2 linked regions of the Oreochromis niloticus genome follow. The protein of the gene in region 1 interacts with the protein of each later gene in a pairwise test. Links are inferred from orthologs where the notes say so. Each region holds a gene or a part of one and is shown in the gene's direction. Other genes may lie near its edges.

Region 1 (3,920 bases):
AATTACTTCCCGATTCATTGGGGAACCTTCACAGGCCAAATGGATAAGGAAGCAGAACCATCAAGTTTCACAGACTGTATATAAATTAATATGTTTTCTATCAACTGCTGGTTTGTCACTAGTTCTAAAGGCAAAGTGGCTGTTTGATAAACCAGAAATAGATTAGAAGACATCATATTAAAAGACAATATATAAGATGATCACAGTTTCCAATACTTCACACTGCTATACTTGAATGAATAAACAGACTGTCAGCCTGCTTCCAATATTAACAGCAACACAATTGATACATTTACATACATACACTATATTTTTTAATTTTGGGGTCTATGAATCTGACCCTAAAATTGAATCAGTATAACACTAATTCTATTCTATTTGATTGGCTCAGCACGATCACGTAGGATGTGTTACAATGTACTTGATTGGTCTATTTGTTTCTATGTTATTTGGACGCGGTGCTTTGTGTGACTGCTGTATGTATAGAAAAATGTAAAGAAAAACCCTGCGCAGATTAAAATCGACGATACGTCAAAATCAAGTAATTAATGTGAATTCGTAAATAAATAACGGAAATAAAAATGTGTTTATACAACTGTTATTTCATATTTGTCTAATAACTGCTCTCTTGGCTCTCTCCCTCTTCCTGGGGGGGATTTTTAAGGTCAATTGCACTTTTTACCTGTATAAATAAAGGATATAGCGTCGCTTTTGCAAAAATCTGGTTGCAGCTTCTACCTTGTGACTGGTATAATTTTTGGGGGGCTAAAAATTACTTAATATCATTAAAGACAGATATGTTTGAGAGCTTATAGGCCAACAAGTTATTTACAACGGTTTAAATAAAGGCAGACTATCATTCTTTGGCTCAGCCTGGCTGCGTCCACCTATCGGTGGCCTAGGATCTAGAGCGTCATAAGTTGCTTGACAGCGAAACAGCCAATCACGGTAGAGTTAGAGGGTCCCTCCTTAGAGTCCGATGGAGCAGTCGCATACGCTTGCGTGATGACGTTGTTGAAAAAAAATAGAGCGTGTGTAAACGGAAATGGTGAATTGTTGTGGACAGTACACGTTGTGGGGCGAGAGAGGAGAGAAATGGGACAAAATCAGACTCCGTCCTAATGTTTTGCTCAGCGCTGCCGTGTGAGGTAGAAGAAGCCTGAAGAGAATTGACGCTAACGCAGACCTGCTGGCTGGGAGCTAGCAACCAGCAGAGGAAGGTACGTGTGACCACAGAAATAAAGTAGTGAAAAGCAAATGCTAACTCCCGCTGTCAGTACTTCTTACTGTTTAGTCTGTTAAACTGTGTTAAACTGGTAATAGCACCTGTCCAGTACCTTACTTACCTGGCGTTAGCACTGAGTAAGATGCGACACTGGCTGGTGTTTCCCAGCCGTCAATTCAAAACGTCACTGACATATTAAGTGTTTCACAAATGCTCATATAGGCGGCTTGCGTTTTTAAGACTTTGCAGTGTTGCACTGAAGACACCTGTGCCGTTTAACGAGAAATGCAGCCTTCAGGGACAACTCACGTTGAAGTAGGTCATGCCAGCTTTGCACCTTGTACCTCGGTTCTAAGTTCATGCAGCGGCTGCCTGTAACTGTCATGTTGCTTACTGAATCTCTGTAAGGGAGACAAGATTAGTGTGAATCACAAAGCTCCGATAGAAACGTCCTTATTGTGCTCCAGCCACCTTAAAATATTCCCTAGGGCTTATTTGGGCAGCAATTTTCAAACTTTACTTGAATAAATTTTAGTTTTAGTGAGCACAGGGACATAAAAACTGCTCAATTGCCCCTCAAACGGGATTAAAACTGCTTAAACGTTACTGACTGACAGATTTTAAGTTAATATTAGTCGTGAGATTCCCAAGAAAGTGCATTTTAAGCTGTACCTCAAACGCAGCACCAAATGGTGATTTTCTTCTACCATGCCTGTGTACAGCCTGCTTTGAGCTCTGTATTCAAAGATTGACAGAAAGTTGGATGTGACAGTGTTTCCCTGAGGTCAGCTGCTTCCACTGGCTGCTGGTCCTTGAGCTGATGTAAATAAAGCGAATGTTTTGTCACATATGAAGTGCTTTCAGTGTAGTTACAGTAAGCCAGTAAATCCTTATACAGATGGAAGAGTCTCTCAGTCTGGACTTGAGTGCAGACTGAGAGACAGTAAAAGGTAACTGTGCTGTGTTTGTGCAGCAGCCATGGCTGAGGCCGGAGCCCATCTCACATCCACGGCTGTCAGTGAGCAGCCGTCAGTGTTTGAAGTCCTGGCACAGGAGTCTTTGATGGAGGCGGTCAGACCGGCACTGAAGCATGCAGTCAAGGTGAGCACGTGTGTGTGTGTCGGGGGCGTACTTATACTTTCCATAGATTTGTGTTGGGTTCTAACAGCCTCGCTCCTGGTGTCATTTCCAGGTTCTGGCAGAGTCCAACCCATCCCGCTTTGGCTTCCTGTGGCGAAGCTTTGATGAGCTGTACCTGCTGCTGGACCTCCTCCTTCAGAACCACTTCCTGTCTAACTGCAGTGCCTCCTTCTCTGAGAACTTCTACGGACTGAAAAGAGTTTCAGGCAGGCAGAGACTTCCTGTGCGCCTCGGGATGACCAGGGCATCCCGCTGGTGGTCTCTTCTTCTTCTGTGCCTGCTGCCATACCTGCAGGCCAAGCTGGAGGCCAAGTTGGCACGGCAAAGGGATGAGGAGGATTTCTCCATCCGGCTGGCGCAGACGAGGAGCCAGAGGCTGTACCGGGCGGCCGTAGCAGCATACCCGTACGTCAGCTCAGCCTGGCAGACCTGGATCTTCTGTCAGCAGCTGCTGTTTGTCTTTGGAGTCTCCAGGACCCACAGTCCTCTCCTGTGGCTGGCCGGGGTCAGACTGGAACGACTTAATGCTCAAGATATCAGAGATATGGAGCGGAATGCCAGGACTCCCGGGAGACCAGCTGGTGGAAGGTACAGCTGGCAAACTCCCTGCTGTCTCTGTTTTTACCCACAGATGTGCTTTGTACCCGGATAGATCACCAGTTGCAGATTCTCACCTGAAAGAAGTTTTTCATGCAGCCTGTTTAACTGTATGTTGCTGATACAACGTTCCATGCATTAAAATGCATTTAGTCAGTGATGCAAAAACCACAAAACTGTTGTGTCCTTATGGTCCAAGCCTGCTGGGATGGCTCAGATCCAACACATTAGAAAATGGATGTTTTTCATAGAGAATTTTCAGACAGTGAGATTAATTTCACTTTGTTTGGCCAAAGGTTTAAGTACTTTAAACACTTATCAAGTTTAATGTTTGCTGATGTGCGCTGTGTGGCTTTATTTAGGTCATTTGGTGAATTGATATGAGGGCACACAAACATACACTCTGTGATATTTTTTACAGTTCTTGAATGAGGCATGTCGTAAGAAAACATTGCTAAACACCCACAATGCAATGTTTCTCTGTTCACAGCCTGATGCAGAGAGCGTGGTGGATGATGTCACAAGCAGCGAGGGGCATGGCTGTGTCTGTCTCCTCTTCCCTCTCTATGGGGGTTTTCTTCCTGCAGTTCCTGGAGTGGTGGTACTCGTCTGAGAACCTCAGCACAGTGAAAGCTCTCACCTCCCTGCCTGCTCCTCCGCCCCCGCTCCACCTGCAGCAGGATCAGACCGGGCTGGGCTCAGAAAGCAGGAACTGTCCTCTGTGCAGGAAGCCCCACACCAATGCCACCGTGCTGTCCACCTCGGGCTTTGTGTTCTGTTACCGCTGCATTTACACATACGTGAAAAGTAACCACCGCTGCCCGGTCACCGGATATCCCACCGAACTGCAACACCTCATCAAGATCTACTCACCAGAGAGCTAAAGCATCAAGCAGTCAAAGCAGACAACTTCAGCTGTGAGTGTGTGAGAGAGAGATGATAAACAGACACAATATGA
Region 2 (3,920 bases), on another chromosome or scaffold:
ACATGTTTACTGCTCTGGTGTCCAAATAATGCAGTTTTAGACTCATCTGTCCAAAGAACATTATTCCAGAAGTCGTGGTCTTTGTCTACGTTCTCTCTGGCAAACTTCAGTCTGGCCTTAATGTTTCTCCTAGAGAGCAAAGGTTTCCTCCTTGCACACCTTCCATGAAAGTCAAACTTGTGTAGTTTCTTTCTGATAGTAGAGTCATGCACGTTCACATCGACAGTAGAGAGCCTGCTGTAGTTCCTGTGATGACATTTTAGGTTTTTTGATGACTTCTTTGAGCATCTTGTGGTCTGCTCTGGGGGTGAATATGCTTGGACGGCCAGACCGGGGCATGGTGGCAGTTGTTTTAGTGTCCTCCACTTGTAAACAATTTTCCAAATGGTGGAATGGCTAATGTCACATTCTTTTGAGACCTTTTTGAATCCCTTACCAGACTCACAAGCGGCCACAATCTTCTTTCTGAGGGCATCAGACAGCTCTTTAGATCTCACCATGGTGCTCACTTCAACACTTCGGCTTTCGAACTATGCTATGATAACTAGATGGATGGTCACCCACATTTTTAGCTTATATAGGACAGCATCCATGGTTTCCAGAGGAAATGTCTAACTGTGAGTGAACACTGTGCCTGAGTCCGTCAGTCGGTCACGTTTTCTTTCAGTCAGACCTGTAAGTGCTTTCACTGTGTCTAACTCATCTGTTTGACGTACACACACAGATCTTTACATTATCAGTTTTTAAGAATTTTGATTGTTTTCCTCCAGTTGTTTCCACCAAGTACATGAGCACTACAATGTACACTGACTCTTCTTGAAGGGTCAGGTGGTCTTTGACAAAGAGTGAGTAAAAAACAAAGGTGGTTTTGTTTTGTTAGGAGTGTATGTTTTAAAAGCTGAACACATAATATAAGATGACAGCTTGATACCTTGTTAAACACAATCGGATGAAATCCAAACCTTGTGCGCTTGTAGTGCTCCTCCCTGCCCCTGAGAGGCGCTGTGAGTTATAGGGTTGGCTGTCTGTCTGTTTGTACAGCAGACAGTTCCGGTAATGTTTCCTGGAGCGGCTCAAAACTCCGCAGCTACTCTAAACACTCTCAGTGGATGTTAGTGGACGTTGAGAGTGTGCAAAATGCAGCTCGGATCAGAATAAGAGCAGTTAGGTTTGTTTTATCTGGTGTAGTGACCGGACGACTTGACTTCAGCCTGCGTGTGAATGAAGAGCAGTACCCTGGACGGTGATATCTCGGTGTCACAGCGTGTGACCGGCTGTACCGGACGATGCCCCTGGCTCCTGCGACTCGGGCTCAGCTGATTCGGTGCAGTCAGAAGGACGACTATTATCGAAGCTCTCTGAGGAACAGCGCTAACGACGCCTTCCAGACTCTGGCCGGTAAGAGAAGCACAGCTAAACCGGCACTCTGTGATTCTGGGTATAAGGACTGAATGTCTTGTTTTAACGTAGTTCACTTTCGAGCTCGTCCTGCGATGCGACAGGTGTTTGTCTCCCGGTGTAATCACGGTCTGTGACTTCAGGTGTTTCTGATGTCTTTACTTTTATGGGGAAACAGCCTTTAGTGAGCAGGATTATTTACAAAGGGGTTATATATAAACTGTAGATCTAAACTGGATCCTTATGACTCTGTGATATTGTAACTACATTGTAACCAATCCAGTCTTTTTTGGCCTCGTAAAATATCTTCATAAAACTATGGTTATAGTTGTTGGCCAGAAATATTTTTTTGATGTGAATGAGATTTTTTAACTGGAGAAATAAAGAATATATAATAATAATATAATATAATAGAATAATAGAATAATATATAAACGTCACTTTGTCAAAAACAGTTTTATTTATATAGCACCAAGTCATAACAACAGTTGCCTCAGACGCTTTATATTGTAAGGTAAAGATTCTACAATAATACAAAGAAAACAGAGAAAAACCCCAGAATCAGATGACCCCTGTGAGGAAGCTCTTTGGCGACAGTGAAAAGGAAAAACTTCCCTTTTAACAGGAAGAAAATAGCATCATAACTAAGGGAGGATTCAGGGTCACCTGATCCAACTGTATGCTTTATCAAAGAGGAAGGTTTAGAGCTCGATCCTAAAGGCAGAGAGGGCGTCTGTCTCCCCAGTCCAAACTGGAAGCTGGTTCCACAGAGGAGCCTGAGGGCTCTGCCTCCCGTTCTGCTTTTCAGTACTCTAGGAGCCGCAAGCAAGCGAGACCCCAGTCTGATTGACTATTTCAAAATAACAGCCCTTTGAATTTGCTTATATATTAGCCACTTTTTTTGAATTCAGAATCCCATTAAAAGGAAGAAGAGCCACTCTGATTGGCTGTTGCACCTCACATGATAAGCTTACACTGATGTGTGCATTAGACAGTTTGCAAAACTAAGCGGGGATCTCAAAACAGCAATGGACAGCATGATAGCTACAATGAATAGTATTCGCTCCAACACAGCTTCCTCCACATGCAGCTCTCAGAAATGTCCACTGAGCACACTGTTGTCAGGTGGTTTTCATGGATTTGCTGTGTATGTGTGAAATATGGCCGGTTTCAAAAGGAAACCATGAATAAACATGACTTGTGTTGCTGTTTATCTGTCCCAGATAAACACACTAACATTGTTACTGCTGTATACCCTTACAGTGGTGTTCGGTCAATTTCAAGATTTTTAGATTTTAAAATAATAGCACTTGTTCGTAATAAACACCAACATGTACCTGAAAATAAATGTCAAGCTAAATTACTGCAGTAATTTTTTTTCACTTGTATGAATCATGGTGTATTTTGAAGTAATGTCGCTGCTACATATGTTTGTTACATGTTACTGACTGCTGCACATGTGTGTGTTTTGACGTAAGCATTTGGTGTTTGTATCATCTCTGCTCTGTTGGACCGTTTAGCAAAAATCAGCCCATCTGACCTAAAACAGTTATGATATAGGGAGATTTTCTCCCCCAATAAAGGAATATTTAATCTATAATCTACTCTTTATTTGATCAGAAACATGCAGCTTGTGAGTTTTCTTTTTACCCATGTAAGTAGAAGCTGAAGCTGTCAGACAAATACAAGTTTGTCTCTGTGTATAATCCATGTGTATATGCACTGTAAAGATATTTGTCTGTGGGATGAAGCATATTAATCAAACATATTTCATGTTAGGCATTATATTACATTATATTGCCAAAGTGAGGTAATTGTAACCTCTGTATGTTTTCTTCATCTCTGTAGGATCCAGACGATGGCTGGAGTGGAGGAAGGAGATCGAGCTGTTGTCAGATCTTGCATATTTTGGCCTAACAACATTCTTGGGTAGTCACCACAAACCATGTTCAGTTAATGCATTTAGCTGATTTCCTGTTTTGATTGATGGTTCTCCTCTCCAGGCTATCAGACTCTGGGTGAGGAATATGTTAACATTGTCCAAGTGGATCCCACTAAACGTCAGATCCCCTCTCCAGCCAGACGAGGTGTGTTTGTCCTCTGCCACGCCTTCGTTCCTTATCTGTTGGACAAGCTGCTGGTGTGTCTGGAGAACGAGCTTGAAGGCGGGCAAGAGAGCCGCGGTCGGCAGCAGGTGGGGTCCGTGCCATGGAGCCTCGAGGCTTGGCTGAGGAGATGGGTCCAGAAAGCGGCGGCGCTGTGTTCAGAGCCCCAGAGGAGGGCGTGTCTGAACGCTGTGTTTGTCCTCCAGCAGAGCCTGACCCTCCTCTATCGCCTCCACTCGGCTCTGTTTTACGTCACTGGCTCGTTCCACCACCTGTCCAAGAGACTGGCTGATATTAGTTATGTAGGTAATTAAAAAAATCCAGTGCTGTGGGAAATATTTGTCCCCGAGTTATTTCTTTTTGTTGTTTTTTGCATATTTGTCATCCTGACACGCTTCAGATCATCTTTGGTTTCAC

The links.
Region 2: the proteins of pex12 (region 1) and pex10 interact in a two-hybrid assay, tested with the Homo sapiens proteins (4 studies listed by BioGRID, with this or other methods). The link is inferred for Oreochromis niloticus from reciprocal best matches to the Homo sapiens genes PEX12 and PEX10.

The regions. Positions count from the first base shown.
Region 1 is NC_031969.2:4,526,414-4,530,333, reverse strand, and holds the start of pex12 (peroxisome assembly protein 12), read left to right. Parts: upstream 1-982; 5' UTR 983-1,220; intron 1,221-2,198; exon of another isoform or gene 2,199-2,201; 5' UTR 2,202-2,203; coding exon 2,204-2,326; intron 2,327-2,417; coding exon 2,418-2,953; intron 2,954-3,452; coding exon 3,453-3,846; 3' UTR 3,847-3,920. UniProt on the Homo sapiens protein: Component of a retrotranslocation channel required for peroxisome organization by mediating export of the PEX5 receptor from peroxisomes to the cytosol, thereby promoting PEX5 recycling.
Region 2 is NC_031984.2:35,141,917-35,145,836, forward strand, and holds the start of pex10 (peroxisome biogenesis factor 10), read left to right. Parts: upstream 1-1,023; 5' UTR 1,024-1,286; coding exon 1,287-1,398; intron 1,399-3,246; coding exon 3,247-3,327; intron 3,328-3,401; coding exon 3,402-3,805; intron 3,806-3,920.